Ovis aries: one gene and its partners. The main gene of each other region encodes a partner of the protein of the gene in region 3 in a complex. Links are inferred from orthologs where the notes say so. Each region holds a gene or a part of one and is shown on either strand. Other genes may lie near its edges. The genes, in order: ARHGEF6, PAK1, DAB2IP and DCP1A.

Region 1 (6,387 bases), on a different chromosome or scaffold from region 3:
CCTTCCACTCTGTTCCCCCAGGTCCTTAACTTCTTTTCACTGCCTTGGGTTCCATGGCTAGTCATTTCACCTGTATGGTTGCTACTGTCCTGGAATGCCTTGCTTTCTTGACATTTGCCCATACCAACCCTAACTTCCAATCTTTATACTAGTAGAAGTGTTTTTCTGCTTTGAGATGGTCTTGCCTTTCTGATTTTACTCTATTGCTTACAGTCGCTTGCGATAGCCAATGTCTAAAATGAGGCAGATTTTCACCCCAATAACCCCAGTGGGCTCAAGCCTATTTTGAACGAGGCTGGATTCCTGAAATTACCCAGGCTTTATTCTTCAACAAAAAATGTAAGTGATACGTCAATAATACTGCCGGATTTGTTTGTCTGTAGGATACAATTCTGATGAGCATTTGTGAGAAAACTGGTCAAATGAGATATCAAAGTATATTTAAGCAGGTTACATTTAAGAATTTCATTGATCAACACATGGATTTTGGTTTTATTTCCATTACATAGATTTGGTCATGGATCAAAAGTCAATGAAAACTTTTGATTGACTATACTTATTTTGCTCATAAATATAATTATATCAAACTGAATATCTGGAGGTCAAATCTTTCTTATAGAACTATTGATAGATACAACAACATGAATGAAACTCAAAGGGATGATGTTAACTGCAAGAAACCAGACAACAGAAAGTTCCATATTGTGTGATTCCATTTATACAAGATTCTAGAAAATGCAAACTAATCTATAGGATTGAAAAAGGTTGTTCATTGTCTGGGATTTTAAGGGAAGGGAGGAAAGATAGGGTTGAAAGGGCACAATAACACTTTTTGGGGATGACAGAAAAGTTTTTTGAATTGTGTGTATATGATTGTATCATGGGATGTATACCATATGTCAAAATCTATTAAATCATACATCTTAACCATATGCGATTCATTATGTCAGTTATATCTCACTAAAAGTACAAAAATCATTAGCAAGGAAAACATGTTGGTTTTAAGTCAAAATGTCTGCTGTGTACCAGGCACTCTGCTGGGGACAGTGTTCATCAAGGCAGACAAGACCCCTCCCTTAGTGGAGGCTACATTCTGGTGGAGGAGACAGATCAACAAATGACAATAGTCAAGTCTGGATAACTGTTATGACAAGGTAAAAAGGGGAAGCTTTGAAAGAATGTAGCCAGATTTTTTAAACAAATTTTTATTTGGTTGCACCTGGTATTAGTTGCAGTATGTGGGATCTTCACTATGGCATATGGGATCTAGTTCCCTGATCAGGGATGGAACCTGGGCCCCCTGCATAAGGAGTGTGGAGTCTTAGGCCCTGGACTACCAGGAAAGTACCCCAAACATGTAGCAGGATTATCTAAGCTGATTATTTGGTAGTAGATGCCTGTCACTGTATTGAAAAGATTCTGAAAGTTAGCATGATCCCATGCATCAGGAGAGGGTAGGGAGTACCATGCATTTGCCCAGATCAGGCTATACTGTTGGCCTTATCATAAATTTCCTAATCATGTGGCTATTATAACTGGTTATGAAGATGTTTTAAGAATAGTGTAGATCTCTTGTTATAGACCAGTTTTTTTCCAGAGCAATATTTTTAAGGCAAAGTGTTTCTTGTTGGGGAAACATCAACCTTCAGACTGTAGTATAGACAGAGGACAAGTGTTCTTTTGTTCTCAAAAATTCTGTTTCCAAGTGCTTTTTACTCGCCGATATGACTGTGTCTGAGCCTTTGCTAAGGGCACTGCAGCTGGATTGTGTAGTGGAACCAGGTCCAGAAAAAGAATCGCTCAAGAATGCAAGTAAACAGGATGTCAGATGTTATCCTTAGTCTATTTCCCTAAACATAGCTTTTTGGCTGCAAAGTAAAATGCCATTCTTCTAGTTTGTGCTTACACAGAGTGATGGCTGACAGCAGGCACAGTCTTCATCTGCTTGGCACGTTGTCACCGTGCAATTCAACGTGTTTTGCAGAGGAATGATCATGACACATTATCTCGGTGAGACAGTAAGAGGACATCCGGCCATTTCTTGGAAGAATTTTCCCAGCTTACCTTCTCTGAGCCCTGTTGTGCCAGCACAGCTCCCCATGAGGCTCAGATCTGTCTGACCTAAGAGCCAGTTGGCATCTTCCTCTTGACAGAAGCCAGATTTTCACTGGGGCTAGACTATTTATTGACAGCATTTTCCCAGACTGGCCCATGAGTATCTCATTTCCAAGGTCCCCTGAAGTGCTGGCTCGCCTCTGTTTTCCCAGAGCACTCACTGCCTTCTCTTTCCTCCCTCCCCAGCATCCTGCTCACTTCCTTCCCTTACAGCTTCTTGCACTGTTGGTTTTTTTTTTTTGGGGGGGGGGAGGGGTGTGAGTGTGTGTATGTATTTCTTCTTTTTTTTTTAAAAAAAATCCTAATGAATTTGTTTTGCAGCTTTTGAAAAAGAATCCCAGTGTTATCCAGGATTTTCCCCTCATTCATTCTATTTCTACATCTTTGAGTGTGAGCTCTGTGGTTTTCAAATCCCAGAATTGGAGTGGCTTCCACCGTTGTCTAAGGAACGTTGTTTTAGAGCTTTGCTCTGCAAGCACGAGAAGAGAACTCATAAAAAGGAAGACAACAGCAGATGCAATCGCGGATGTGGCTTAGTCCTTGCAGCTGCCCCAGAGAGGTGCTCGGGAGCGTTCAGTCTGCAGTAATGAATCCAGAAGAGCGCGTCGTGACCTGGCTCATATCCTTGGGAGTATTAGATTCCCCCAAAAAGACCATCTGTGATCCGGAGGAGTTCTTGAAGTCCTCTTTGAAAAATGGGGTAGTGCTGTGCAAACTGATCAACAGATTAAGGCCTGGCTCTGTAGAAAAGGTAAGGGAAATTTGCAGTATCTTTAGGGTTGCTCACCACCAGAGAGCAGCGGTAATGTCACTCTGGAGATTTTCGGTTGCCTGGGTCATGGGACACTCCTGCTTTCATCTCTTTTTGAGATTTAACCGTTCTTTCTTACTGTTTTCATAGTCGGAAAAAGTCAGAAAATGAAAGGTTTTCCTTTAGTGATTGGCCACTAGAGGTTAGTACAGTAAAAACCTTTGACACCACTGGTACCAGGGGACAAGGAGAACACCCCTGTCACGAGCTGGCTCTGCCACAGAGACGCGTGTTGTGCCTCCCTGTGCACCGAGGACATGTTTTGAACCTGAGGTTCATGTGAGTCTGTGGAGTAATGGGATGATTTGTAACAGATATTCAGGGTGCTTATTGATGGTATGACTAAATTTGCTGTGGATTTACTTCTCAAAGAAATAAAGTATCCATTGAAAGAGAGGCTATTTAGCAATCAGGAGAAATAATCCAAAATGTCACAATGGGTTTGTTAAAACAATAGAAACCAAATATATGTTTTGAATGCAACACGTGTTCAAAGTGAAACTAACCTTACTCATTTTTAAAAATCCAAAATTGTGAAGGTTGGAAACCCATGATCACCAGTAAGAAAAATTTTTAAAATGGGCACCTTAATCAAGTTTAAAAGTGGAGCCATAAATTATTTTCTTAAGGTCAGCAGGGAATGAGACACTGAGTACAGTTCATTTCCCTCCTTGAGGCAGTGTTTTTATTGAACATACCGATTTACTTATAATTTCTCAAACTTGGAAAACAGTGATAAAATGGAAAATGTCGAGAAATGTGATCAAATGTAAAGAACAGCGAAGAGGGAAATACAATTTTAATACATTATCATGAGGAGGATGGAGGGAAATGATAGGTTGAAAGCAGGAACCAGGATGAAAAAAACTTGCAGGGTCTCTCTAATTTGCTATCACCATGCTTTGCATGAGAAAGTTTATAAGTGGAGATGACTTGGGGCTAAGGATTTGGTGACATTTGGAACAAGACCAACCGTTTAGATTTTTGCATCACTTCCTTCAGTGGTTAATTTCTCTTCCTGGATTGACAGTAATGTTGGCCCCACCTTAAAAAGCCTACTTTATCTACTTATCAGCGAATGATGCAATGATGTGTCCCACTTGGGATGACAGTCTCCAAGTGATATTTGACTGTGTTTCTTTAGTACTGTCTGGAGCCCCAAACTGAAGCTGACTGCACCAACAACATCAACGACTTCCTGAAAGGATGCGCAGCCCTTCAAGTGGAGGTAAGCCCACCCAGGTTGCCTTCCTTGTGGTCATTTTTCACTCTGCTAATGAATATGGTGTCGTGGTAAAAGGCTTATTTTTACTGTTAAACCGAGGAAGCATTTTTATGGAAACCATGGTTAAGATCGATGGTCCCCAGTCATGGTTTGCTAGTTTGTTTGTTTGTTTATTTTTTTTCCGGAAACCAATTCCAAAGCAAAACAAAATCAAAATTCAAAATATGGTAACTTTTATCTTACTGTATAGCACAGAGAACCATATTCAATATCCTATGATAAACCATAATGGAAAAGAATATTAAGAAAAAGAATGTCTGTATATGTGTAACTGAATCATTTGGCTGTACAGCAGAAATTAACACAGCATTGTAAATCAATTAAAAAAAGACAAAATATGGTACCATTTAGAAACAGCTCCCAAAATTTGTTGTATGACTCAAGGAATTCAAACCAGGGCTCTGTGACAACTTAGAGGGGTGGGATGGGGTGGGAGGTCGAAGGGAGATTTGAGAGGGTGGGGACATATGTATGATTCATGTTGAAGTATGGCAGAAACCAACACAATATTGTAAAGCAATTATCCTCCAATTAAAAATAAATTAAAAAAAAAAAAAACCACAGCTCCCAAGCTCTGAAAGCAGGCTTTTGGTGCCAGAGGTTGTATGGTATGCGTCCCTACTAAGTGGAGCCCAAAGTGGGCCACTGGATGCTGCAGAGGGTTACTGTAATCCTTTTGAGTTGGGAAGGGTGGAAAGATTATAACCACTTTTCCCTACTAACACTTTAGAACAGAGGCCATGAAAGAACTTGGCCCTGAGGTAGAAATTGTATATTAAGTTACACTGTATTCCTTTATGTTATGTGGATCCTTGCAGTAAGTATAGGGGGTGTTGCTGAAAAGGAGGTGACGCTTTTGCTTGTATGTCACATTATTTAATGTCTCTGTACCTTAGTGTTTTAATCTGTAAAATGGACACAATAATAACTACCTCATGGGGCTGTTTTAAGGATCAAATGAGATACTGCATAATAATTTAGAGCTAAGAGCTTGAAATTCCAAAGATCTATGAAGTAACGTAGGTAGAGTACTCAGCACAGGACCTGGGGTGTAAGAAGTATAGACATGCATTAGTAGTATCACTTGTGGAGAAATGTTAGTACTGGTTTGAGCCTGGACTCTTCCCTACTGGCTCAGACAGTAAAGAATCTGCCTGTAATGCAGGAGACTCGAGTTCAGTCCCTAGGTTGGGAAGATTCCCTGGAGAAGGGGACAGCAACCCATTCCAGTGTTCTTGCCTGGAGAATCCCATGGACAGAGGAGCCTGGTGGGCTACAGCCTGTGGGCTTGCAAAGAACTGGATACAACTGAGCGACACTTTCACACACCTTCTGATATTAGACTACTTGGATTCAAATCTCAGTTATCTCTTGCTAGTAGCTTTGTGACCTTGGGCATGTTATGGCTCTGTGCCTCAGTCTCCATACCTGCAAAATGGGAAGAATAGCAGCACCTGTCTCATGGGATTGGTATAAGGTTTCAAAGAATTCACATCCTTGGAAGAGTGCATGGCACACAGAAAGTTTTCTCCAAGTGTTAGTTAACTACTAGTGGTACTAGTACAAGTAACTTTTCCCCAGATAAACTTTGCTTTCTTCAGAGTTTTTCTGAAAGTTAGCCATAGCATCAAGCTATGCTTGTTTCAGAATATTTTATTCCAGATTTCCGTATTGCCAAATTTTAGCTCCTTCCCTCTCTCTCTCTTTATCTTTCTGTGTGTGTACCTGGGCGCATGGTGTGTATGGCTTTTAAGGCAGGTGCAACCTACTCTATATCCCTTATGGAATGATGTCTGCTACGAACAGATCATGGCATTTTCTTTTCATTTGTTAAATAAAAACATTGTGAGGTTGCCAAAGATTTATGCACTCTGAAGCTGTCAGAAGGTATATTGAGTTTCTATATGGTTCTAAGAATACTAGGTGATACAGAAACACCTCCTGGGTCTGGCATTGTTGGAGAATGAGTCTTTTCACATAAGTGGATTTTTCTGATAACTAATGCTTATTCCATTAAGCACCCATACTTAAAATATTTTTGGCCACTTTGGACACAAATCTTTCTTTGAAAGTATAACATAATTTTCATTTCTTACATTGAAGGTCGCCAAACATATTTTGATCTCTTTTGGATAATTCAGGCTGGTCTGAGCATCAGATGAATATTGTGAGGAGG
Region 2 (6,256 bases), on a different chromosome or scaffold from region 3:
ATTCTGATGGAGAAAGAAGTAAAAGGGGTGGGGGGGGGGAGCTCAATCTATTGATAAAATAAATCCCCCAAAATGTTGGAATCCATTTGGATTTGCATACTGGAGTGAGGTTCCTCTTCCTACTGAAAACTGTTCTTCAATAAACCCCAATGTAGCAGCTGGCAGTAAATAGAGTTAAATCATTTTTATATTATTCATTCAACAAATATTTGAATGGCTGCTATATGCAGTCACTAGTTTAGCCCCTGGGATTACAGAAGTAAATAAAACAAAATTCTCTGCTTTCAGGAAGCTTTCAGTTAAGTGAGAAAAACAGATGATATGAAATGGAATGGAATAGAATAGGATGGAATGGAATGAAACTGAACAGAATGGAACAGATGGGATGGAATGGAACAGAATGGAAGGAAATGGAATGGAAGGTCAGGCACTTTGTGCTATGGAAGAAAGAGGAGGCAGGGAGAAAGGAAGCAGGGAGGGAGGTGGCAAGGTAATGGTCTTATTAAAGGCAGATCATTTAACACAGTGGTTCTCAAACTTTAGCGAGTATCACAATCACGTGGAGGATTGTTAAATATCTGGGGTTCCCAACCCCAGAGTTTTTCATCTGTATGTCTGGAATGGGACAAGTAATTTGCAAGTCCAACAAATTCTCAGATTCTATTGATGATCCTGGTACAGGGACTACACTTGGAGCTAAAATTATTCTAACCCAAAGAATTAGGTAATCTCAAACTCAAGGGCCTTGATTTGCTTTCTTCACTCATACATTCATTTCAAACTCTTATTCAGTGCCAGAAACTTTGCAAGGCACTAAGACTAAAGAGATCTTGCCCTCAAAAAATTCACAGGTTAATATTTGCAACAATGTGATAAAGTCAAAAAAATTTGCAACAAAGTGCTATAGAGATCTATAAGAGTGGTCTCTATAAAAGCCCGGGAACAGAAAAGCAACTCATTATACGGAGGTAATAGGAGGAAAAACTAAGGGACACTTTCATTTTTCTCCCAGAAGTATAAGTGCTTCTCCATAGGCAGGTGCAGGATGGCATTTTAGACAGAACAGCACATGCAAAAGCAGAGATGAGAAGAGGGTGGCAAGGAAGTTGTAGAAAGTGAGGCTGCAAAGGCAGGCAGTACTCTAATTTCTGAGAGCTTCTTATTCGTATCAAAAAGTTTAAAATTTTATCTTTAGGCAATGACTAGTCAGGAGTGGGGCTGGATATATAGTGCCTTCCTTTTAGAAACACTTGGACTACCTGATGTGAAGAGCCAACTCACTGGAAAAGACCTTGATGCTGAAAATAACTGAAGGCAAAAAGAGAAGGGGACCACAGAGGATGAGATGGTTAGATAGCATCACTGACTCAATGGACATGAATTTGAGCCAACTCTGGGATACAGTAGAGAACAGAGGAACCTAGCCTAGCTTGCTGCAGTCCTTGGGAGTTGCGAAGAGTCAGACACATTAGTGACTGAACAACCACCTCCTTTTAGAAAGCAGTCCTTCCTCCAAATTTAACACAGGGCTTCATACCATGTGCTTAGTAAATGTATACTGAATTGAATATACGTTCAAAAAAGCTCTTTGTCAAGTGCTATCTCACAGAAGAGAGGCAGGTCACTACCTTCCTTTTGGGACTCACTTTGACCAGGACAAGACTTGTAAAACAGGTCCAGCAGCCTCAATTATTGCACACTACTCCCTGTACAGCTGTTGTAGAGACTAGGGAAGGCCTTCATTGTTTACAAGCCTACCTCACCCACTAGACTTTGAGCTCTTTGACAGACAGGGAATGTCTTAACAGTTTCTGAATCCCCACAGCCCTAGCAGGAGACCTGAAACACAGTAGCTCTCCAGACTCCAGTAATATTGGGTAAATGAATGACTGAATAAGCAAATTTACCAGACAGACCCATAAGTTAACTGGATAAGCTTCATGGAATGTTTCATGATCTATCATTCAAAAATCCTTTTTTTTCTTTTTGCCACTTTGTTATAATTGAAGGATAATTGCTTTACAGAATTTTGTGGTTTTCTCTCATACATCAACAAGAATCAGCCAGAGGTACACCCATGCCCCCTCCCTCCTGGACCTCCCTCCATCTCCCTCCCCATCCAACCCTTCTAGACTGTCACAGAGCCCCTGTTTCAGTTCTCTGTTCCAGTTTCCCTTGTTCAGTTACAATACACATGGTATTGTAAATTTCCATGTTACTCTCTCCATACATCTCACCCTCTTTTTTGAGAAGTAGAGTTTCTAGTTAAGATGAGGTGGATTTCATATGCACCTGATTCAGGATTTTCCAAATAGTAACAACAACAAAGTGTTAACAAGTGCTGTATCATAAATCCTACCAAACCTCTGAGGGACTCAATGAGAAAGTTTTGCCTGAAAGGATTATGGGGGTGGGTGCCAGCAAAGACTTCATGGGAGGTTTGGCCAGAGTTGGGGGGGTGGGGCGGGGGTGCTTCAGTAAAGTCTTGAAAACTAAGTAGCACAAAAGCAAACAAGCAAACTCCCGGGCCTTTAAAACTGGAAGTGACCTGCTCAAGGTCACACAGGAAGTAGAAGTCATGAGGTAAGACTAAGGAGGTATTTGTGTACTGTCGACTCCTCTTTTCCCCTGACAAAGTTTAGACAGGGCACAAAGACACAGTAGGCAAGATTAAAGATTTTTCTAGGAACAACTCTTAAAGGTTAGACTAGTGACTTCAAATTTTTATTGGTAACCAAACTACTAACCCTTCTCATCACCTTTCACAGTCCTGGGAGGAAAAGCGCAAGACAGTTATCCAAAGGGCTAAACAAACAAAAAGCACTTTGCTCTCAACACGCAAAACTTCTCAAGTATTCTTCCAAAACACTCCCAGCAATGTTTGCTGTGAAAATATTCAAGACAGTAAAGGTTATAATAATCACGTCTTTTGAAGTGGAATAAGAAACATAAAATAACTCCAAATCTCGTCTCCCCGTGTTTTAACGCCACAGGTTTAGAGTATTGCCGGTGTGGGGGAGGGGCGGCATAAGTCAAGCACTGTCCACTCGTATTTTTCAAGGAGTTCAACTCTATAGGTGATCCCCACGGCCAGGACAAAGGTGACTTTTCTTGTGCACAATGAACCTGTCGCCGCCTTGCTAGGTCCCCCTGCGCGGTCCAGAGTTAGGATCCGAGGACCACAAAGTTCAGGAGGCAGTCGCTCCCGGAGCCGGACCTGCGAGGTCTCCCCTCCGCTGACTTGCCCTGGCTCTCTGGGTCCCCAGGCGTCAGAGACCCGCGGCCACGCGGGTTACTACACCGGGGGCCTTTGTTGGTCCGACAGAAATGGCCAGCCTCGAAAGAGACGCCCCCGCCTTCCCTCACCTGGCGCCCGCATCCGCCCGGCCGCGGCGGGGAATGAATGGGTCCCGGAACCCCCGCCCCGCGCCTCCCCCAGCCCGGCGCCGCAGCCCGGCAGCCCGCGACGCCAGGGGTACAGGGCGGGAGGCCGGCTCTCACCGTCCGCGCTTGTTCGGCTCGACTCGGCTCCTCCTCCTTCTCCACCCCGGTGTCCGCGGCCGAGCCGCGGAGTGAGCGCTCGAGTGTGCGCAAGGGGCCGCTTCACTTTCTCCCGCCCGCCGCCGCCGCCGCCGCTCGCCCGGCGCCTCCCGACCCGCTCGTGCCGGGAAGTCCCCTCAGGACAGGGCGAGGGTGGGGGGGAGGGGGTCAGCGACCGTGGCTGGAGTCGGGGAGGCGGAGGGACCTAGGCGACGCGGCTGCGGGGGGCGCTTGCTCGGAGATATGAGGAGCTCGGGTGGCCTCTGGGGGAGGAGGTGGAGAGACAGAGAGCTCTTTGAGGGGCTCTCGAGAGCGCGGGGCTCCGTGAAAGAGGGGGTAAAAAGTCTGAGGGAAAAAAGCGTCTGGGGCAGGACGGCAGAGTCGATGAGGAAGACGCTACAGACGAGCAGAGAGGGAAAGGGGTGTGGGGGCGAAACCGTGAGGGGCCGTCTACGGTGCTGCCCACACCTTGGACTCCAGCTGCAGCGGCCGCCGAGCCGCCTCCCCCACCTCAGCCGAGCTATTGTACGCCGCTGGCCGGGCGGACCGCCTCGCCCACCGGCCCCCGCCCCTCCCCTTGAGGCACAGGCGCCGGCGGAGCCCCGGCCCGCCCCACCTCCGGCAGGTGGGAGGGGGCGGGGAGGACAGGACGGACCCACGTGAGCGAGGCCCAGCCAGGCGTGGGGGCGGGGAAGGGCCACTCCTGGAATGACGTCATCGGCGCATGACGCCAGAGACTGGGGAAGGCACCCGGCTGCCCGTGACGTCATTGCGCTCGCCTCTCTCCTCTGACTGCGCAAGGTCTACTGCTTCGGGCTCCTTCGAGGCAGAAGGCTTTGGGCTGGTTTCAGGGTTGTTAGTGGTATAGTCATGGTCAAAGAATACGGCTCACCCCCTATCTTATGGTCCTCTCCGCATCCGCTAGCTCGATGCCAAGCGCTGAATTTGGAAACTTCCCCATCTCCTATGACCTCAGAGCCAGACGTTTATTATACTGGATTTGGGGCGGGGGAGGGGCGCGGTGGGAAGGAGGCAAAGAAATGGTAATGGAGGTTTCAATTGTTACTGACAGAAAAAGAATGAGCTTCTTTTCCTAGTTTTTCCCTATAAAGGAGGCTACATTCAACGCAAACCTTTTGCCTGAGCTCGGATTCTGTTTCCCAGTGCCTCCTCCGTTTTCCAGTGTAGTGTTTGCATACCCGCTCTGTAAGTCAGATTCCATACGACCAAAACTGAAACGTTCAACATTAGTGAGGAAGGGTTTGGAATCAGATTGCTTTGTTTCAAATTTCAGCTATACAAATGTTAGTGATACGACTTTAACATTTCTAAGCCATAGTTTCTCTGTAAGTAGTACCTGTATCCTTTCTGTAATAATAGTTAAGTGCAGTTTAAAACGTATTAAGTCGTTTGGAATGCTGGCTATTCCTACCACCATTTCCCCTCAAAATTGTGACTCACATTACTTCTTGATCATAGAGAATGGACCGTCATTCAGCAGTTCACTGACCCAGAAACCTGAACTTAGCCCCCATTCTTCCTCGCTGAGCACTCATCAGATTGGTCACCGTCTTTGTAGAGTATCCTACATATTTCTCAAGTTCTTGCCCTTCTGTTCACTCATCACCATCACCTAGACAACTGGAGCAGCTTTCAGAGTCTCCAGATTCAATCCATTCTTAATGACCAGATTATTCTTTTTTTTTTCTTTTTTTCTTTTTTTTTTTTTTTTGTCTTGGGGTATAGCAAATTAACAGTGTTGTGATACTTACAGGTGAACAGCAAAGGGACTCACCCATATGTATACATGTATCCATTCTCTCCCAAACCAGAGTGTCCTTTTAAAAACACAAATCTGATGCCTTCCCCTGTTTAAATACTCTGAAAGGGTTTTGTTGCTTTCAGGATAAAATCTAAACTCCTTAATTTAGCACTGTACAACCTTGGTGCTTACACCAGCTTGTCTAGCTTCATCTCACATGGTATATACTTTGTTCCAGCCACACTGAAATGCTACTTAATGTTCTTTGAACTTACATTTCTTCATGTCTATAGCCCTTCTCTTTTATCTCACTGGCCAAAGCCTATTCATTCTACAAAGCCCAGTTCAAACGTCCTGTTCCTTTGTTCTTTCAATTAATATTTCTTAAGTTTCTCTGAGCCTTCACAATGCTGTCATCTTATAGTACTTCATGCCGTTTATGGCATGTAACAGACAGTGTAGTAACTGTATTTGTGTATGTGACTCCCTGAGCTCCTTTAGAGCGAGTTATATTCCTACCCATACTATCCATATCCCCAGTATCTAGAATATGCCTGACACATAATATGTTATGAAAATGTACTTAATAAATGATCACATAGTACTTACCATGTGCCAGGTAACTGTTCTAAGCACCATCTCTTTTAAACCTCTAACAACCCTCTGAGATAGTCTACTGTTATCCTCCACCCCCCCATTTTATTGGTGAGGAAACCGAGGTGCAGAGGGGTTAAGTAACTGAACCCAAGATCATAACCCAGTAAATTAATTCTAAACTATTTTTGGATAGTCTCAATGGTGGGCAGAATAATCAGTTCAGTTCAGTTCAGTCGCTCAGTCGTGTCCGACTATTTGCAACCCCATGAATCGCAGCACGCCAGGCCTCCCTGTCCATCACCATCTCCCGGAGTTCACTCAGACTCACGTCCATCGAGTCCGTGATGCCATCCACCC
Region 3 (5,590 bases):
TATGTTTCCCTGTGTCCCACGCCCGGCCCGCCCTGGGTGAAAACACAGCCCAAGAGTGGGAAGTGTGTTCCAGACTTCAAACTCTCTGGTTGTCCCTCCTGGTCCGGTGCCAAGGGTCATTTTCAGCTCAGCCCAAAGGGCCAGGGAGGCCCCAGTGAGCACCTTGTGTAACCCTGGGGCAGGGGGACCTGCGCCGGCAGCGTCAACCCCACCGGCTCTGCCCTGACCCAAGACTGTCGTCTCCTTGCAGGCCTGCCTCTGCCTGTGCCCGTCCTTCGGGAGCAGAAAAACCAGGTCCTTCTGGTGCCCATACCAGGGGTGCTCAAGGTACTCTGACGGGAACAGAGCTGTGAGCCAGGGTGGCTGCGGGGGTAAGCCGACTGTCTCTGGTGACACGATAAAGAAGGGCCACAAAGGGGAGCCAGACAAAGGCCTTCCAGCAGGACAGGAAAGAACGCGACCAAAGAGAGAAGCAACCTACGGCCAGAGGTGGGACGGGGGAACGGGGCCAGGAGAGCCACTCAGGTGGGGAAGGGAACGTAGGTCCTGAGCTGGAGCAGGGACCAAGGGAAAAACCTGGGCAGCTCCTCCAGTGTGAAAATAAAGCCACTCCTGGGGGCTGGTAGCATGGTCCCCTGGACAGTCACACAGCCATCTCTGATGAGGCTGTACTAGCTCAGTGGCCACCATTCACACATGCCGGGATGTTCATCTTGCATGGAATGGCCCGGGACTGACTGTGGCCCAGACTGCAGTCCTGAAAAGCAGTCTGCCCTGCACACTTCTGCTCCTCTCTGGGGCCGCCAGGGGCCCACAGAACTCGGTCCTAATAAAGCCCAGTCCTCCTCCTCGGTTCTCTACGGTCCCAGCAGGAGGCCCACCCAGTGTCCAGGCCCCACACAGGTGCGTGCTGGGGCCACCCCAAGCCTGTAACTTGAGCACCAGCTTCCATTGCCAGGTGAGGAGTCCCAGGTGAAGCCATCCAGTCACCCAGGGGTACCTGAGCAGAGCCTTGTGCATCTGGCTTCTTGTCCAGCTGTAGCACCTACAATGGTGCCAGGCAGTACCCACTGTCCAACATGTGTACGGGACTGCCAGGTCTGAATCCTCAACAATGCACAGACCATGTCCTGCCTACACACTCTGGAACACTCCAATGTCTGAGCCCAGAAAGGACCAGTTGGACTCAGCGGGGTCAGAAGAAGGTGGGTTCCAATCCCAGGGCCCCGAATCTGAAGCTGTGTTACCTGCCCTCTCCCTGTTAAACCTCAGCTCTCTTGTTGGGAATGACAGAGGAGGGCTCCCCACCGAGCTCTCGGGATGGGATGATGCCCTCAGAGGCCAGCCCAGAGCCCAGCATACTCCAGGCACCCAGCCTACAGAAGGATGGGGCGAGAGGGAGGGATGCGGGGTGGGACCCTGGGCAGTGGAGGCCGAGAGGGCGTGGGGGCAGCACTGACCAGTAGGAGTTGATGATTTTGCAGAAGGCCAGCTCGCAGCACATCTTGAGGTTGCCCTGGTGCTCGGGGAGGTCAGCGGCCGAGCACTTGCTCGGGTCCACTTCACAGTTCTCGTCCGACTCGTACAGCGCTTTGATGAACTCTCCTGTGGCCGAGAGGGCAGGAGGGGGCGGTGAGGACCCAGTGGGCATGCCCCACCCTGACCCTCTTGCCCCCAGTCAGCCCACACCCCCTACCTAGTGCGTCCTGCAGGTACTTCTGGCCCACCAGCTTGAGGTACTCCTCGATGGCCTTGGTGGCCAGCGTGTTCTCCCGGAAGATGAGGTGCTCGTTTTCCCCACAGCGGTCCACCTCTGACATCATCAGGTCGGTCAGGAAGTCCTGTGGAGCCAGGGGAGGAGAGTGGACTTGAGCAGGCCTGGCAGGTAAGGCCCCAGGGGTCCAGACCCACGCTCCCTGGCCAGAAGCCCCTGCTCTGTGAGGCTGCTCCATCACCAGGCTGCTGGGTCTCACCTGTGGGGGCTTCTGGGGCATGAGAGCAGGGCAGCCTAATGAGGGGACACGGCGACATCTGAGCTGGACCCCGGATCAGGGAGGCAAGAGCCCCCGCATGATGGCCCGACCCGGGGGACTCAAATCTCTGCTCAGCCCTGCCCCGGCCTGGTGGGGTGACTGAAAAGAGCACCCCCATCCCAGGGCTAAAGAGGACAAACAGGCTGCCCTGCCCCCTCATACAAGCAGCTACGACCGTCCACCCATCACTGTGATGAGGTCTCCCATGCCAGACAAGGGCTTGTTCTGTGCAGCCTCACGAGGAAGGAAGACAAGGGGGAGAAGCAGGCCAGCTGCCCTGGAAGGCAGTGAGCCGGGGCTCAGACAGAGGGAGATGGACCTCGGCTCGCATGGGAAGTGGCCTGGCTACAGCACAGCTCCCGGGCAGACCCAGGAGGGAGCCTGAGCCCACGCCTTCCCTCCTGACTGCGGGGCGGCTCAGAGGAACCTGCTGCACCCCTCCAGGTGGAAACACCCCCCACCTCGGAGGCTGCGCCTCCTCACGCCCACGGCCAGGCTTGTGACCTGGGGAGAAGACAGGCAGGAGGCAGGGACCCGGGGGCAGTGGGGGCAGAGGGCAGGGGCCGGCCAGCGCAGAGGCCGGGTGGCTGGCATTGTGCCGGGGCTATTGATGCTCCAGAAATGCCTCATCCAACATGCCCAACTTCAGGGCCCTCGAAATCACAAGTGGGCCTTGAAATACAGAACCGAACTCTGGGCCCTGGAGACCTGGTTGGCCACCGGAGAAATAGGAGGGCCGGGGTGGGGGAGAGGCAGTTGGTCTCTCTGGAGACCACACAGCCTGAGGACCCTTCCTGACCACCAGTGACCTCTAGGGCCTCCTTCTCTGAACAAAGAACAACAGACGTCAGTACTGCGTGTACTGCTCTGCTCATGCCCACAGCCCTCCTGAGCTCCTGGGGTAGGTGTGAGGCCCAGGCGGGGGTGAGGAGGAGCTCTTCTTAGAGCCAGGACCTGGCTGGGGGTGGTGGTGGGGAAACAGGCACAGAACAGGAAACTGACCTGTCCAAGGCCACACAGCTACCGGGACCAAATCTGGCCTGAGTGTCTTGTTAGCAAGGGCCCATTTCTCCTACTGCACTGAGGGGTGGGGGGGGGGGGGTTGGGGGGGGGGCGGAGGGAGATGACAGGGGGCAAAGCACACCCAAGGCCCTCTCCCAGGACTCGGAGCCCTTGGCACGTGCTCCGGAGAGAGGCATCTCACCCCTTAGCTCCCCAGGGGCTCAGAGCTCAGATGCACGTCACCCCAGCAGCCTGATGTGCTGCTGGGGAGCAGCACCCCACAGAAGCTCCGCTGAGGAGCTGGAGGCCCGGTGCACAGTGAGCACCCCGATTTCTCCTGTCTCAGCTATGAGCCTGAGAGCAAAGGCCCCTTCAGATCAGACTCAGCCTCCCAGCCCAGCCCAGCCCTCGGGGGCCGCTTACTGAAAGGACAGACCTAGAGGCAGAAAGGAGGCCGCTGGAGCCCCTGCTGCCTCCCTTGGTCTCCCTCTGGTCTCCCTCCCTCTCCAGGGGAGGAGGTGGTCCAAGCACAGAGGAATGGAGTGCCCCGTGCCCATGGAGAAGTACCTCTCCTGGTCCCCCACCATGAGCCCAATGGGCAGGGGCTCTGAAGGGCCCAAAGGAGGCCAGGGCCTTCTGGATCAGGCAGAGAGAGAGAATAAGAGCCCTGACAGACTGCGCACCCTGGGCTCTGCCTGGGGGCTGAGGCCTGACCCCCAACCTGTGTCTCCCTCCAAGCCCAGGCTGAGGGCTCGGGACCTTGACCAGGGAGGGCAGTCCCTCACCCCCACCACAGGCCACAAGTCATGCGACGTCTGGAGAGCAGAGGCTCGCCCCCGGGGAAGGCACCCAAAGCCTTCTGCAGCGTGGATAGACCCCACGTTCAGCCTTTCTCCACTGCACCCCTTTTGAGGAGCTCCCTCAAGGCCCCCCCCAAGGCAGGGGGCAGGGTGGAACCATGTTCTGCTGTGCTGGGCAGGTAGGCCTGCAGAGCCTTCCAGAAGGAGCCGACCTGTCTGCAAAGAGGAGCGAGTGGGTGGGGCTGGGCGTGGCTTGGCAGGGAGGCAGGTGGAAGGCGGTGGGGAGGACAGCAGGGGCCCTCCAGCCCTGGAGCAGGGCCTGCTGGAGGGCTCGGGCAAGATTTGCTCCAGGGGGGTCCAGAGCTGGGGCGGCTGCCCTCCAAACAGACAGCTGCGACAGTGACTGTGTGTCCCGTGTGCGTGCACTGGGAGCTGGGGGGAGTCTGGGGCTCAGACAACGGCTGCACCCTGGCCGTCACCTGCTGCAATGTGTGATAACTTAACACACCAGATGTGTGTCTGGGTCACTGGGACCCATGTGCCTGCAGAGGTGGGCCTCGTGGCCTGCTCCCCTGGAGCCTCAGGGAGGGGCCGGCCCTCTCCGGCAGTGGGGAGGCCCTAAAGCCACTTCCTTGCTGCAAGCCATGTTACAGACCATGGGCTCCATACCCGCCTCTGCGATCAGCTCCAACCACGGAGGGGGTGCACAAAGCCCCCACCCTTCAGGATGCAGCTCCAGATTTAGCCAGCTCCAGACTGAGGGGGCCCACCTAGCTATGACGGGGGCCTCCAGCAGAGCTGAAATCCATGACGTGGACGCGGGGACCGGCAGGTCATCCGGTGCCTGTCCCCCAGCCTTCCACGGGGCCCGCGGGAGGCGGCGTCCCGCCTGAGGCCCGGGCACCTACCTTCACCTTGCCCGTGCTCTGCAGGATGTGCACCAAGGCTGACGCCATCTCCTCCTTGGTCTTGGCACTGAGGATGGGCTCGAGGGCAGCGCAGAGCCCCAGGTAGTGGTTGGTGATGTGCTCGGCGAACTCCTTATACATCTCCATGGGCAGGATAGTGATGGTCTGGTAGCGCGCCTTGATGCGGATCATGGGCCCGGGGCCCTTGCCGCCCTTGGGGTTGGGCGTCACCACCGGGTACCACTTCTCCACGAACTGCCGGCCGGCCACGGAGGCGGCGGGCAGGCTCACCAAGCCCAGGTAGCTGCTGCGCTCCTTCTTCTTCTTCTTGTCGGTCTCGCGGTACAGGTGGACGGTGACTGTGCGCAGGGGCGGCAGGTTGTGGAACTCGAAGTGCTCGCCCCAGAAGACGTTGTCGGTCTTGAGCTTGCCCGTGGTGCGCGCGTACAGCACGTCGTCCAGGCACAGCTCGCACAGGTACTTCTTCTTGGCCGGCAGGTCCTTGGCCTCGATCACCCACAGCTTCAGAATGTGCTCCACACGCCGGCTGTTGTCCTGCACATGCATGGGCGGGGAGAGGGGCGCAGTTACCAGGAGCCTGGCGCCTGGTCCCCTGCCAAGCCCGGAGCTGGGAAGAGTGCTCAGAGCTGGTCAGGGCCAGCTCTGGAGTCTGAAGGAAGTGGGGCCGGATCTCTGCTCTGCCTCATACACTAGCTCACTGACCTTGGGCAAGCAACCATCTATGATCATCTAAGCCTTAAGTCCCTCTGTCATGGAAGTCCACAAGCTGAGAGCAACTGAAGAGGCCAGCGCGATGCCTGGCACACGGCGGCCGTTGACTGGCTCT
Region 4 (5,590 bases), on a different chromosome or scaffold from region 3:
CAAAGGAACAGCCAACAGTTGTGGGTCTGGATTCAGAAGAAGTGGAGAAACTGCCAGGAGATGCCTCCCAGAAAGAGCCCAACTCATTCCTACCATTTTCGTTTGAGCCTGGAGGGGCCCCCCAGTCGGAAAACCTGGGTGTCCATCCTGCTGCCCACCCCTCAGTCCAGCCCGAAGTCACCACCCCGGTGCTAATCACTCCTGCTTCCATCACTCAGTCCAGTGAAAAGCAGGCCCCCAGCTATGCCATCCCATTGCACTCTGTGCTAAGTCCTAGTCTACCAGCAGAAGCTTCTACTGGACAGGCTCCCCCCAGCCTACCCCGAAAAACCACCATGATGCAAACAGTGAAGACTACACCTAGGCAGAGGTCTCCACTCCTGAGTCAGCCTGTCCCCGAGCTGAGCCACGCCAGCCTGACTGCCAGCCAGAGCCCATTCAGGGCCCCGCTGAGCGTGACAAACACAACCAGTCCATCTCTCCCAAGTGTTGATCTTCTCCAGAAACTCAGGTTGACCCCGCAGCATGACCAAATACAGACACAGTCACTTGGGAAAGGTGCAGCAGCACCCAGCTTTTCTCCAGCAGCCGGCCAGCTGGCCACCCCTGAGAGCTTCATAGAGCCTTCCCCTAAAGCAACAGCAGCAAGAGCCTCAGCCTCCCTGAGCAACATGGTGCTTGCTCCCCTTCAGGTACTGGCAGGAGATTGGGTGGCTGTAACCTAGTGGGATGAAACTGGATTTTGATTGAGAGGAGACAGAGTTGTTTAAAGAGACAACCGTTGAGTGTGTAAGGGGCTAGAAGAAAGGAGAGGTGAGAAGCCCTGCAGTGATCAACCAAACCATCGGTAACTGGTGGTGTAACTCAGTTCCACTTCCCAAAATAATTTCAGCTGATAAAAGCTGAGAAATTGTATTTTCCTTCCTGGGTGTGCATTTTAGCGTTTTTTTGTTTGTTTATTTTTGCCTGACACGTCTAGGAGTCCTTATTTGACTCAAGACCATGGATCCAGATTATCCCAAGCTTTGTTCCATCCCCTGCTCCCTCAGTACTCTGACTGAGTGCCTGCCTTGTGCCAGGTGCATTAGGGGTGCCATAAGAGCGTCCCACATCTGGAGGTCTGAGGTCAAAGAAAGCTTCCTCGGGAAACTGGCCATCAGCTGAGATCTGAAGACTCAGTAGAAATTAGCCAGACCTAGAGGTAGGAAGTGTGTGTGAAGGCAAGGAAAGTAGCAGGTGCAGAAGCCTAGACACGAGAGGGCATTTGCTGAGCTGTGGTGTGACTGGATCTATGTGTAAAGAAACATGGGGGAGCAGGTATTGGTGATGAGTAAAATTTTGTAAATAGTATCAAGGAGTTAGAGGTTTGTTCTGAGGACCCTGGAGAGTCTTTTAAGTGTATGAGCCAAGGGTGGCACGCTGGGAAAGGGGATGACAGAAGGACGACAACCCATCAGAACGGAGGTCGGGGCAGTCACCCAGGCTTGAGCGGGTGGGGGCCTGTACTGGGCAGTGTGGACATGTGGATTTATTAAGAAGGAGGATGAGCGGGACTTGGTGGGGTTTGGATATCGGGGTGAAGAAGAGGTTTGTCCCTCAGTAACTTAAAACGTTGGTGAGTTTACAAATGAGGAAATCAGGTCACAGTTGAAGTGACTTGTGCAAGATCACAGAACTGAAAGGGGGTAGAGCCTTTCAAGGTTTTAGTCTCATGCCCTTTAATCATTACAATCCCCAGCTCTTGAACATTTTACCAAATAATATTAATACTGGCTCTTCTGTATAATATTATCTCTTAGTTAATGGAATGCTTTGTTCCATTCCGTTAAAATTCTGTACAGAAAAAGAAACCTGGTGTCCTGGTTACATGATTAAATTGTCATATTTGCCGTTTCTGTCTGCAGTATAAGGAGCAGCGAGAATGTTCTGTTTGATAAAACATCCCTGAAATGTGTCTGCTGCCACTATTCCTGTTGTTCTAGAAATACAGCCTGCAGTCCTGAATACCGCCCCTCTAGATTTGGCCTCTGGGACAGCACCCTGCTCTCCAGCATGCCTCTGGCAGAGGAAGCTTACAAACATGTTCTTTCTCGTTTATGTGCCATATCGAATTTCAGGACCTGGGACCGCACTGAGTCCTAATGTATTTGCTCTGCTACAGGAGCTTCTGTGTCTCCCAGGGAATAGGTATAGCATTTATCTGGAAGTGTGTGGCTCTGTGTGAGACTGTTTAGTGCCACCTGTCAGAGTGTGAACCACCCTATCAGGAGGCTTCATGCTATCAGGATCTTGCGTCTCTACAGTCTCAACAGCAAAATATGCTTGGTCTGTCCCCACTCTTATAAGAGACCCAGGTTTCAGCTTTTTCTGTAGAGACGTTTTCAAGGCTTTGCACACCCCTTTTCTCCAGTGGAACTGAAGAGGGTTGGGGGCTGTCCTGAAGCTCCTATCCTGCATTGTGACAAATTCTGGTCAGCCACTTCCCTCAGGAATCTAGGAACCAAGTCATGTTTGAACTCCTCCTTACAGCTGCTAACCTAGATTTTTACCCCAGTAACTAAGAAATCTTTAATGAAAAGTTGCTACATCTGTTCATCTTTTCTGTTTAAACGTTGCAGTCTATGCAGCAAAACCAGGATCCTGAAGTTTTTGCCCAGCCTAAGGTGTTATCCAGTGCCATCCCGGTAAGGATCCCCTTTTTCTAAAGAGCATAGTATGTCTTAAGTTCTTCTGCTGAGTGTAAAGTGAAACATTTCAGCTTTCAAACTTAGGCCCCTCTTACATGTCCCCTCCAACTCCCGCAGGCAGAGCTCATTGCTGTGGCCTCTGCAGTCCTCAAGTCATCCGTCCTCAGTGATGTCTTCCTTGAATGTGTGTATGGGAGGGCAAGGTCGGCCACGGCAGGGGTGCTCACTCACTCCCTCTGTGTTGTGAACAGGCGACTGCTGAGAGCAAGTCAGCCCCATCCCTATGGATAGGAGACAGTCTTTGCCCTGGAAGAACTATGGTGTCCCAGTAAACAAGGCAGTGTCACCACCCTGCTCGATGGCTTCCCATTGCCCTGTTGACAGAACCTCCCAGGCCTGCGTGCTCTGTGCCTTGCTTCTTCTCCCCTGCCTCATTTTTTACAACTTGTCCTCATCCTCCATTCCCTACCAGCTTTGACAGGCACACTCATCTTTTTCAGTTCCTAAACTTTTAGGTTCCTTTTGCCTTTGAGCCTTAACACCTCTCCTGAAGCCTAAGAGTTTAAACAAAAGCCACCTTCTGACTGGTCTTAGCAGGTCTTCTTTGTAGCTTGTCCTGCTGCGTGGTGATCGGCTTACCACTTCTTGGTGATCTCTCAGCCCGGTGTTGCACCAAAAATAACCACAGATGGCTCAGAACCCAGAAACTGCACTCTCAAAGCTACGGACAGCTTTGGTTCTTTATAAATGAGGAAGGTGACAGATAGGAGGGAAAAAATACATAGTTTTCTTGTTGAGTGTATCAAAATATGAGAATTAGTAAAAAAAAAAAAAGGGCTTCCCTCAAAGCTCAGTTGGTAAAGAATCCGCCTACAATGCGGGAGACCTGGGTTTGATCCCTGGGTTGGAAAGATCCCCTGGAGAAGCGAAAGGCTACCCACTCCAGTATTCTGGCCTGGAGAATTCCATGGACTATACAAGTCCGTGGAGTCTAAAAGAGTCGGACATGACTGAGCAACTTTCACTTTCAAAAAAAAATATTATTACTCTTTTGTGTATTCTGCTGGTTAGCCATTGTTAGCCCAGAAGTATCTCTAAATGAAAGAAGGAGGTAAATGTTAGTTTTATGTTTTTAAAATTGTGTCTTTGATGACTGTGGTGGCATAATAAATACATTGAACACAACTAAAGAAACTAATGCTTCAAATAATTTCATATAACTGATGCTTCATATAATTCTTTTTATTGAATTAAAATTTATGTATAATGCAGATTTCTTGAATTGAGTTTTAATACACATATATCTCTTGGGCAGTGAGAAGTTATGTAACACTTCCATCACCTCAGATAGTTCCTTCACACCCTCCTCCAAGCATTTCTGTGTCCCTCATGGGAAAACTTGACATATTCAACTTATCTCAGGACTGTTCTTACTGTGCCTTATCAGATTCCCTTTCTGTAGTGATGGGGCTTGGCGTCTCATAACAGCCCGGGGCCACCCTTATCATGTAAATGGGCTCCTCATCCTTCAGTGAACAAGCTTCCTAACCAGACATTGCGTGCTTAGATGCCGCTTCTGGCCCTTTATCTGAACTCTGAATAGTCAGCATCGGGCTCTGCTTTCCTGTCTCCTGCTGCTTGTGCTTGTTATCAGCGTCCCCTCCTCTGGGCCTGGCTGCTGGCTCCCACACTCTTTGTTGCAAAATGGCCATTGTTCCCCTGCAGGTGGCAGGCCCCCCTCTGGTTCCGGCAACAACCTCGGCAGCGCCCTCAGTCCTGCTGTCCCCCAGTGTTTTCCAGCAGACAGTTACAAGGTCCTCAGACCTTGAGAGGAAAGCCAGCTCCCCTTCTCCTCTCACTGTTGGGACGACAGAAAATCAGAGAAAGCCTTCCATTATCCTCAGCAAGTCTCAGCTCCAGGATACATTAATACATCTAATCAAGGTATGTAAAATATTGGTTTAGTCTTTGGATTTTCATTCTGTAAAAAAATAATTATATGATTCTTTAAAAAGTCAATTCATAAAGAAAATCCAAGGCCAGCTAGGACCAGTGTTTCTCTCTCCCTATGGGAAAATTCTCAAAGTGGAAAAATAGATCTGTGTGAATTTCAAAATATTCCTCATGATTGTCTCTGGGTGGTGGGATTCTTGGCATAATTAGTTGTACAGAGCATGTATATAACTTCTTCCTAAGCTGTTACCATGACAGCTCTAAGGAGGTAACCGTGACCTGACCATCTCTTCCAGAATGATCCCAGCTTCCTCAGCACACTTCATGAAGCCTACTTACAGGTTCTGACCAAGAACAGAGACAGCCACAACCTATGACTAGAGCAGAGTAATCCTGAAGGCAGGATGTCGACCTCAGAAGCAAGCAGGCCTCATCATGGAAACTTCTAAACGGAACATTGAGCTTTGAGAATTCTAAAACTGAGCCTATGAGAAAGAGACTCGTTGCTTAAGAATGTTTTCCAAGTGACGTTCTCAGTGATAATGGAGGTTTCACTGTGAAGCATCACCAGCAGACCTTTGTTTTGGGGGGGAAAAAAAAGACCATTGTGTTCAGTTGTGTGGGTGTGGGTGTTTTCATCAGCTCTAAACAAGTTTGTGAAATAAGGAATCTGATTTTCAGCTCACTTTCGTATTCAAGGTCTTAGGGAAAAGAGGTCACCAGCCCTGCGGCAGTCAGCCCAGCCCATACCCCCATTCCCCTCCCGCACTTCCATCTAAAAAGTTAAGCCTTGGGCTGGTAGTCATGTTCTGAACAGAGCAGAAGTCAGCTCTGTGCAAAGTAGCTTCGCGTTTTAAGGATCAGAGGTTAAGCTGGCAGATTAGGACTGGTTTGTTCAAGTGAGGTGTATTTTATACGAATGCCCGTTTGGGGCCTTAAAAGTTCTGAAG

Evidence for each region.
Region 1: DAB2IP (region 3) and ARHGEF6 share a complex: the UniProt entries of both Homo sapiens proteins name them as parts of the cytoplasmic complex. The link is inferred for Ovis aries from reciprocal best matches to the Homo sapiens genes DAB2IP and ARHGEF6.
Region 2: DAB2IP (region 3) and PAK1 share a complex: the UniProt entries of both Homo sapiens proteins name them as parts of the cytoplasmic complex. The link is inferred for Ovis aries from reciprocal best matches to the Homo sapiens genes DAB2IP and PAK1.
Region 4: DAB2IP (region 3) and DCP1A share a complex: the UniProt entries of both Homo sapiens proteins name them as parts of the cytoplasmic complex. The link is inferred for Ovis aries from reciprocal best matches to the Homo sapiens genes DAB2IP and DCP1A.

What each region holds. Positions count from the first base shown.
Region 1 is NC_056080.1:98,427,883-98,434,269, forward strand, and holds the start of ARHGEF6 (rho guanine nucleotide exchange factor 6), read left to right. Parts: upstream 1-2,690; 5' UTR 2,691-2,701; coding exon 2,702-2,866; intron 2,867-4,070; coding exon 4,071-4,154; intron 4,155-6,387. UniProt on the Homo sapiens protein: Acts as a RAC1 guanine nucleotide exchange factor (GEF).
Region 2 is NC_056074.1:16,104,410-16,110,665, reverse strand, and holds the start of PAK1 (serine/threonine-protein kinase PAK 1), read right to left. Parts: upstream 4,066-6,256; 5' UTR 3,367-4,065; intron 2,885-3,366; exon of another isoform or gene 2,748-2,884; intron 1-2,747. UniProt on the Homo sapiens protein: Protein kinase involved in intracellular signaling pathways downstream of integrins and receptor-type kinases that plays an important role in cytoskeleton dynamics, in cell adhesion, migration, proliferation, apoptosis, mitosis, and in vesicle-mediated transport processes.
Region 3 is NC_056056.1:14,108,882-14,114,471, forward strand, and holds part of DAB2IP (disabled homolog 2-interacting protein), read right to left. Parts: intron 5,299-5,590; coding exon 4,744-5,298; intron 1,842-4,743; coding exon 1,697-1,841; intron 1,606-1,696; coding exon 1,461-1,605; intron 1-1,460. UniProt on the Homo sapiens protein: Functions as a scaffold protein implicated in the regulation of a large spectrum of both general and specialized signaling pathways.
Region 4 is NC_056072.1:47,783,769-47,789,358, forward strand, and holds part of DCP1A (mRNA-decapping enzyme 1A), read left to right. Parts: coding exon 1-692; intron 693-2,618; coding exon 2,619-2,684; intron 2,685-4,412; coding exon 4,413-4,631; intron 4,632-4,936; coding exon 4,937-5,017; 3' UTR 5,018-5,590. UniProt on the Homo sapiens protein: Necessary for the degradation of mRNAs, both in normal mRNA turnover and in nonsense-mediated mRNA decay. Removes the 7-methyl guanine cap structure from mRNA molecules, yielding a 5'-phosphorylated mRNA fragment and 7m-GDP.